Linked DNA regions of Coturnix japonica. The protein of the gene in region 2 purifies or fractionates together with the protein of the main gene of each other region. This does not show direct contact. Links are inferred from orthologs where the notes say so. Each region holds a gene or a part of one and is shown on either strand. Other genes may lie near its edges. The genes, in order: CAMKV and SDC2.

Evidence for each region.
Region 1: the proteins of SDC2 (region 2) and CAMKV purify together in Homo sapiens (affinity purification with mass spectrometry; 3 studies listed by BioGRID and IntAct, counting the BioPlex papers as one, with this or other methods). This does not show direct contact. The link is inferred for Coturnix japonica from reciprocal best matches to the Homo sapiens genes SDC2 and CAMKV.

The regions. Positions count from the first base shown.
Region 1 is NC_029527.1:1,485,201-1,489,601, forward strand, and holds the start of CAMKV (caM kinase-like vesicle-associated protein), read right to left. Parts: upstream 3,067-4,401; 5' UTR 2,947-3,066; intron 575-2,946; 5' UTR 561-574; coding exon 466-560; intron 1-465. UniProt on the Homo sapiens protein: Does not appear to have detectable kinase activity.
Region 2 is NC_029517.1:114,934,301-114,938,764, reverse strand, and holds the start of SDC2 (syndecan-2), read right to left. Parts: upstream 2,900-4,464; 5' UTR 2,636-2,899; coding exon 2,576-2,635; intron 1-2,575. UniProt on the Homo sapiens protein: Cell surface proteoglycan which regulates dendritic arbor morphogenesis.

The DNA.
Region 1 (4,401 bases), on a different chromosome or scaffold from region 2:
GATGGCCCCTGTCCCTGCACAGAGCTCACGGCCGGATGGATGCTGCAGAACTATCAATACTGAGCTGCACAGCAGCATTCCTCCACACTACTGTTAACGCCGCATTTGAGAAGGCAGGAGGTGAGAAAACTTCCCCAGAGCCCCTTCCTCCGCCACCGCCGGAGCAGACGGTCCTGCCTTGGGGAAGTGCACCGGGGAGCCGCGATTTTGAGGAACTGCTGCAATCCCAGCAGATATTTGAGAGGGAGGAGGGAGGGTTAACCGCAGGCGCCAGGCTGCGGCGAGCAGCAGCAGCAGCCTCAGCACCGGCAGCGATTCTGTGCTCAGAGCAGACGGCAAAAACCCTCCTGGAATCAGCACTCGTTGGAGGGAACGCACCCCAGCCCCAAAGGCACCGCGCTCCCCAAGAGGTGCAGGGTGGGGGTCCCCATGGGCGCTCCTGGGGCTGGGCAGGGATGCACTCACGTTTTGATGACCTGGCCCAGGTCATATCTGTCGGTCACCTCGGACGGTTGGTTGTAGTCTTTCTTGTCCCCCAGTGTCACGCAGCCAAACGGCATCGCAGGGCCCAGTGCTGCAGAGGCAGAGGAGCCGTGAGAGCCCCAGCCCCGCTGCCCGCACCCATCCCTCCTGAGCAGCATAAAACCTGACAGAGTGCAGCCCATCCCCGTGGCGTCCGGCCGCTCTGCCCCACCAGCTTTGCAGCTTGGTAACAAATCTATTCCATAGGCAGAGCCATGAGCAGCTCGCCGGGTGGTGTGGCGAGTAGACTGGTTCCTCAGCCCCATTTTGCCCTGTGGTGATGCTTTTTCAGCTCCAGCATCGCCTGCTGCATGCTGCCACCCTGCCCTTCGGGGATGGTGTTGTGCCCTCTGCCTTCCTGGCAGGATCCCTCCAATCCCAGCCCCTTCTCTGGAGCTTGCTGCCAAAAAAACCCGTTCCCAGAAAGTGATTTTTTTTTCCTCTTTCCCATCCCGTTCAGGGAGGAAGTTTGAACGGATGTTATTTTCTGATGCTTCAGGAAGAGAAGGGCTCCGTGGCCCCGCTCAGCCTGAGCGGGACGTCCAACGGGATGCTGGTGTGGTGCCTGAGGCACCGATCGCCCCCAGCTCCCGGGATGACAAGCCGTGCCGTGCCGCACCGCACCGCGCTGCCAGCACCCGCCGCCCCGGTCCCGGTGGCAGGATGGCGGAGCGGGATGCAGGAGCCGGCGCGGCGGGTACCCAAGCGCTGAGCCTGTTGCTATGGCGATGGGAGCTGAAGATGCAGAAAGCGGCACATCCTGCGGCGGGGGCAGGGACGGGCAGCACCCGCAGCACCCGACCTGCTGCGCTGCGCAGCCCCGGCAATGCCGCGCCGACCCCCGATGGGGGCCTTGTCTGTGGCACCATGTGCGGGCACAGGGATGATCCCTGGGGTGGGTGACCCCGAGGGGGGTGTGGGGACAGAGATGCAGGGGTGTGGGGATGCTCCATCGTGCGCTCGCTGCCTCCATCCAGCCCTGCCTGCGGGATGGGAGCCCCTCGCTGTGCAGCACCAGGGCATCAGCCTGTGCCAGGTGAGAGCAGCCGGCCCCATCGCACTCAGAGTGCGCCCACTCCCAAAAGAGAAGCAAAGCACCCGTGGGTGCAGAAGAACTCAACCCCAAGCTACAGACCTGCTGAAGCCTCCCTGGCTTCCCTGGGCTCAGCCCAACAGGGGACATGCCCTGCCTGACTCCTCCGAGTGTCCCCGTGCCACACAACGCAGGCTGTGCCGTGCCGCTGCCCCTGGGCGAGGGGACGAGGGCTGTCCCCGCAGCCAGTGGCCGGCTGGGAGGGCTGGGATGATGAGCTGCCGGCGTGCTGCGTGGATGAGCCATGCAGGGACCCGATGGGATGACAGATAGGGATCTGATTGCTGCCTCTGCAAGCGCTCGGCTGACCTGCGCCCATCCCAGCAGCTCCTGCTGGCTGAGCGGGTGCCATCCTGCCGGGCTGAGCACCGTCCTCTGCCCCGGGTCAGCATCCCCGGCATGTCCTGCAGGTGAGAGCTGGGCGCAGCAGGGAGGCTGGATGCTGCTCTGGCACCCGCACGCAGCCGGCCCCCCCCCCCTTCTGAAGCAGCTAATTTGGGAGCAGAAGCAACAGCGGGTGTAAGACAATAGCGGGAGGTGGGTGGCCGGGTGCGGACGGGATGACGCAGCCGTGCAGCCCTCACCAGCATCCCCCCAGCATCCCGGAGCTCAGCTCTGCCCCACGGCTCGGGGACCCCCAGCTGCAGCTCAGCCAGCCTCACCTGCAGCCCCTCGCACCTGCAGCCCCCAGCCGCGCTGCCAGAGGGTCCCCGCCGCACCCCCCATCCCACGAGAGTGCTGTAGCAGAGGAAAGCGGACACAAGCGTCCACAGTGCGGGCGGCAGCAGAGTGGAGGGGCTACGGGAGCCCGCAGCGCTGCACCCAAAGGGAGCTCCTGGGATGCGGACAGAGACGGGGCCGGGGGGTCCCTACAGCCCGGTGCCCCCCAACCAGGATGCATCTGCCCAGGAGCGAGCTGGGGGCTGCAGCAGCGGAGAGCGGGCGGGGAAGGATACAAAGCTTGTCCGGCAGCGATGGGATGGGGTGGGGTGTGGTGGGATGCGATGGGACGGGACGAGATGAGGTGGTACGGGATGCGGTGGGATGAATGGGATGGACGGGGATGGAGCGGGGTTGGGACGGGACGGCAGCTCGGCCGCCCGCCGGGGTCGGGGAAGGCGGCAGCGGGGGGCGGCGCGGGGCGGCCGTCGGGGCGCACACGGGCACGGCACGGGGGGATGAGGCACGGATACGGAGGGGCAGCCCCGGGCCAACACATGGCGATCCCCAGCGACGCCCCCGGCCCGGCCCAGCAGCCCCACGCCCCGAGGGCGGCACGGTTCAGCCCGGCTCGGCTCGGCATCCCCCCGGGGCCGTCCCGCCGCGCTCACCTCTCGCCTCTCCGACAGCAACGGGGGGCGCGGCCCGGGGCCGCCGCTCTTGGGGAGCCGCGCGGTGCCGGGCGGTGCGGAGCGGTGCGAAGCCGAGCCGAGCCGAGCCGAGCCGAGCCGAGCACCGCCGTCGCTCCGTCGCGGCGCGGCCCCGCGCGCCCGGCGCGGCAATTGGGGGGGGTGGGGCCGCCGGGTGCCGCCCCTCCTCCGGTGGGGTCCCCCCGCCCCTCCCGTGACGTAACCCCAAACTTTGCGACCCGCCCCCTCTTGGTGCGGGAGCCGCCACCCACGGGAGTGGGGTGCGTGGCATCGCTGTGACACCGCGAGGGGTGGGGGGATGCGGGGACACCTAAAGGGATGGAGCGCTGGGACAGCTGCAGCCAACGGAGTGACATCATGGGCAGCGAGTGGGGTGGGGTGGGATGGGATGGGATGGGATGGGATGGGATGGGATGGGATGGGATGGATGGGATGGGATGGGATGGAGGGGATGGGGTGGATGAGTTGGGATGGATGGGATATGGAAGGACAGGTCAGGGTAGGACAGAGGAAGTAAGATGGACCGAGGTGAGTTGGATGGAATGGGTGTAATGGGATGGGATGGATGGAATGGTGTGCGTAGGATGGGACAGGATGGGGTGGGATGGATCAGAACGGGTGGGATGGGGTGGATGAGGTGTGATAGGACGGGACAGGACATTTGGAGGAGATAGGATGGATTGGGATGGATTTGATGGGATTGATGTGATGAGCTGGAGTTGGATGGATAATATGGATTGGGATGATTGGGAGGGGTTGGATAGGGTGAGTGTGATGGGATAGAGAGGGATCGATGGTATGGATTGGGATGATTGGGATGGGGCTAATAGGATGGATGGGATGGAAGTAGATGAATGAGATAGGATGGGGTGGATGGGATGGTGCGATGGGATGAGTGGTATGGCTGGGATGGAATGGGTAGGATGGGTCAGGACAGGATCTGATAGGACAGTGGAAGAGATGGGATGGAATGGTATGCGTTAGATGGGATGGGATGGATGAGGTGGGACAAGGTGGGATGAGTGGGATGGGATAGGATAAGATAAAATAGGATAGGACAGCACAAGGTGGGATGGATTAAACAGAATAAAGATGGGTGGGATGGAATGGGATGGAATAGGAAGAGTGCAACCCTGCTGGAGCTGGGCACTTTCCTTCAGGCTCCGTCCTTCTCGCCCTGACTGCTCACAGACCCTTGTCAAGACCCAGAGCCCCCACAGCCCCGGCCTCACTGCCACGCACACCATGTAATTAACAGCGCGTGAGCTCGGGGGAATTAGCAGAGCGCCGTACATTGAGCTTCTAATCAAGAGTTTAATCACACAGCCTGGAAGCAGCGCACGGCTCTGTTATTAATCTTTGCCCACCCGGGATCCTGGAGTGTAACTCACAATTACTCAGCAGTGCCCGCTCTGC
Region 2 (4,464 bases):
ACTCACAGAATGTAAATCTGAAACATCAGCCATCTCTTCAGCAGTTTTCTCTCCTCCTGTAATTACCATCCCCAAAACCAAGCTGCGTGTTTGAAAACCAAAACAAACATTCACCCTCTCCAACATGGGATCCATTTTCCAGATTCCAAAAGCAAAGTAATGATTAGAAACAAATGCAGAAAAAATTACAGCACCGTGCTTCCAAAATATTAAATATTTCTCAAAAATACACAAATTATTACCCAAGTAATCCTTCAATAATAGCGTATATGTCAACAATCCAGTGCTTAGATGCTTACAAAAGGAACAGACAGACCACATAGTTGATGTTGGTGCTGCAGTGCTCTATTTTAAAGAACACTACGCACACAGTGCTGGGGAGTTGGCATGAAGCAGAGTCCTTTGACTCAAGATACACCACTACACAGGAGGAGAGCCACGACTGTTCTCCCATTTGTGAGAGCAGCAGGATTACAGTGCAGCACACACAGAAACCTGTTTGCCAGCAAGTCTTCCCTGCACCCACCTTGGCTTGCGGAGAGGATCAGAGCATCACACAAGCCCTGGAAAGCCATTAGTCCTACTGATGAGGAGCAGAAAGAAGCAGAAAGGTTTATCAGCCTCGGCAGAATGGGAACTGACAAGGACAGTGAGATACTTGGCACTGCTCTCTGTTGCTATTAAAATCAGCAAGCGTTGACTCCTGCTATCATCAAGACTGAACCCAACCTCATAAAAGACACACCTGACTCACACTTAGAGAGCTGGCCTTTTCTTTTTCCAGCACTTTCACATCACTCTCTTTCCCTCTCCTAAAAGGGAACCAGAAAGAACACCTTTTCCACAATTCACCCAAGCCTGGGTGAGTCTCAAAGTGCCTTCACATCTGCTGATGTTACCAGACCCCACTGATATCCAGCATCTCCCCCTGCACAGCGAAGTACCCTGTGAGCCCAGTGCCATCTGCCAGCTCTGATGTGGGCACTTGCCACCTCCTGCAGCCAGGCACAACAGGGTACAGCTGCCCGGCACCCTCTGCATCCTGATGCCAAGCTGACACCGCACACCACAGTACATCTGCAGCACAAGAGCCAACACCAGGGCACACAGACACGCAGCTCCCTACTACATTCCCAGTATGTTTTTAACGTGATTAACACCAACGGGGTCCACCCCAGTAAATAGCGGGGCTTGGTAGTTACACGAAGCAAACACAGGACATACTTCTTCAAGAATCAAACAAAGGAAAAGAACTTAGGAGCTAAAACCATTTGTCAGTACTCCAAAAGCTTGCAGGGTTGTTGTAAGCATCCAGATAAAATCCAACTTAGGACCAGGACAGCGTTCTGCACAGACAAGATTTAGCATCCGTCTTTTCCCAGACACCAGTCTACAAAACTCCTCCTTAAAGGACCTCGTAGCTGCCGCCAAAGAGGAAAAAAGGAGGGGGGAGAAAAATCCACCTCCCTTCACCTCTCCCATCTGCCCACAACTTTCTGGCAGCAGTCAGGGCGCTGCTCAGGGCCGGCAGCACGGCTCCCCCCGTTCCAGCCGCAGGAGCCTGCTCATCCCAAGGCAAAACCATCCAACTTAATACTTAACTAATGACTGTGGCAGTTGCAGTTACTCCGCCATCAGAGAACTTCGTAACAGTAGCGTTCCTATGAAACTAAAACATACAGCAAGGGGGAGCGCGCATAGCGGGAACGGGAGTCCGGGCTCGACACAACTCGGTCTTAATTAGCCCTCAAGAAAAGCGTTTTGCAATTGTATCCTTCGGAATCACTAATGATGAGGCGGACCGCACGAAAGCTGCGACGGGGCTTATTTATACAATAGCCAGGCAACTTCAAAAGCGAACCCGAGCCGGTGACATTATTTAGTTCAGTGGAGCAGCTCATTTTAATTGGATTAAATTGTCACGGTATTTTAATTTCGGACTGAAACCTCCATTTATTATTTCCTAATATTTGTCCCAACGCTGTAACCGCGTTCTTTTCTCGGCTCCCTCCTCCTCCTCCATCCCCCTCCGCCCCGGCACCGTCCCGAAGCGCCGCCGGCGAAGCCCGAATCCTCTCCCGATCCGCCCGCAGCGCGGGGCGGGAGCGCTGCGCAGAGGAGCGGCTTTTCGGGAGGTACAAATCCCGACAACGGAGTTAATTGCATTAAGCAGAGTTCCCCGCTCAGAGGAGACACTTGTGGCTGCGAGAAGCGTAAACAGCGGCATTATCCGCAGCCAGCCCGGGCGGGGAGGGCAGCCGGGATGGGCGCGCACCCCGCGGGGAAGCGAGGGTCATGGGGCGCGTACCGAGCCGCATAGCCACGGCCAATTAACTCATTAGGTGCCCTCCGTAGCAGCCTGTCGAGCCGCGGGGAACAGGGGGAAGGCGCCGCCGGGGGGACGCGGACCCGCACCTCCTCGGGTCGGGGCGTCGCGGTGAAGTCGGGTCTGGAGGGGCGCTCCCACTGCTCCTATCGAGGACATTCCTCGGGGGCAGCGCTGCGGACGGAGCCCAGGTGGCCGCCCCCGTCCCGTCCTTGTCCCGTCCCCCCGCCCTGCCGCTCGCTCACTCACCGGCTGCCCGGAGGCGCAGGCCACGAAGCTGAGGGTGAGCGCGAGCCACACGCACCGCATTCTTCCCGAGGAGCCGGCGCGGCGGCCGCCTGTGGCCGGGCACAAAGGAGAAAGCGGGGCCGCTGCGCTCGGCAGCGCCCGGGGGCGCGGGGCAGGGCCGCGGGCGCCCTCCGGCCCGTTCCGCTCCGCTGCTGTCGGCGTTCAGCTCCGCGCTGCCCGGCGGCACAACGCTGCCCGGCGGCACAACGCTGCCCGGCTGCTGCTGCTGCTGCTGCTGCTGCTGCTGCTGCTGCTGCTGCTACCTTCTCCTCCTCCTCCTCCTCCTTCTTCTTCTTCTTCTTCGCCGCCCGCTCCTCTCCTTCCTTCCTTCCCTCCCGCCCTCCGCCCCGTGTGCGCGGCAGCGGCAGCGCGGCTCCCAGTTAAACCCCGCAGAAATTCCTGCAGGATTACAACACAGATTGGCAGCTCCCCCAGCCAGTGGAAGGAGGCGGCGCGTCTCCGCCGCCGGCTCTCGCCCCTCGCAAATTCAAGCAACTTTCCACCTTCCCCTCCACCAAAAAAAATAACCACCGCCCCCTCTCTATCCTCTACTCTGCCGTCCTCCCCCCCAGTGGAAAACATGAGAGGGCTGGACCCGGATAGAAGCAGGGACCTGGAAAGTCTCCCTCTGCTGTTTTTTGTTTGTTTGTTTGCTTGCTTGCTTTTTTATCATATAGTTATTTATTTATTTCAAGGGAATTCTTCCCTCTGCTCTGTGTCCTCAACCGCCGGACCGAGCCGCGCTGCCTCTCACATCCTCCCCCAGTTACCTAGAAGGCAGCAATCAGGTGCTGGGAAACAAAAAGGATGAGGCTCATGGGTGCCAAAATGGCAGCTCATTTTGGTTTGCTTTTTTTCCCAGACTTTTCTCAGAAGACCTGAAACTTTTAGGAAATAAGAGAGTGGCTGTGATTTGTGTCTCATACATGGAGCCAGGAAGAATGTCTTCAAAACAAATATTGACAGCACCAAGGATGCGCACTCCAGAAGCGAAGCCAAGAGGTCTTGCTGGGACTGGCCCATGGTGTTTATCATGCAGGGAAAGTGGTAGTATTGCAGAGCTTAGGAGCATCGTTCTGACTCGGGTACCTGTGCCAGTGCGTTTCCACTGCCAAGCGTATCCATGTGTTACATCAGTCACTGGACACAGGAAGGTGAAATATTGCTCTTGATTACAACCAACTGCATTTGATTCAATTCTGAGCTTCAGGCTGTGTTTATAGCCAAACTAAGGTAGTCACAAGGACCATAATGATCACTCTTAGACAAGCCTGTCCCACTCAGAGGACCCCATGGAAGCAAGAAGCATGAGGATCCCAGTGCAGGTGCTTCTCCATGCCCATCGCCTTACCTGCATTGGCCTTTGAGTGGTGCTGAGATCCCATCTGCCTCCAGTCCCTGCTATGGAAACAGAAAAACAAAACCAAAGGTGGTTAATTAAGCACACGCAGTCTGTCGTCTTCCCAGCCTCTCCCAGACAAAGGCACCCCACACATGCCGGTGATACGGCTGTGTCCTGGGGAGCAGCGGGACTCATGTCCCCATGGGGCAGGTGGCCACGTCCTGAGTGTTCCCACTGCCAGGAACGTGATACTTCTCAGCAGCGCTGGCCATGCTATTTCCAGACCTACCTCCCAGACATGCCGTGTCATTGATTTTTAGGCTGCATTCACTGCTGAAATCTCAGCAGATTTTCAATGGTCTACTCCTGGCAGGCGTCATGCACAAACAGGTTGTTTAATAGATTCCTTCTCCTTCAAAGGCCGTTGCAAATATTTAGGGCCAGTTCTGTGTATTCTCTTCTTTGACGGGTGGTTGGATTGCAACCTAACAAACTGAGCAACTGTTGC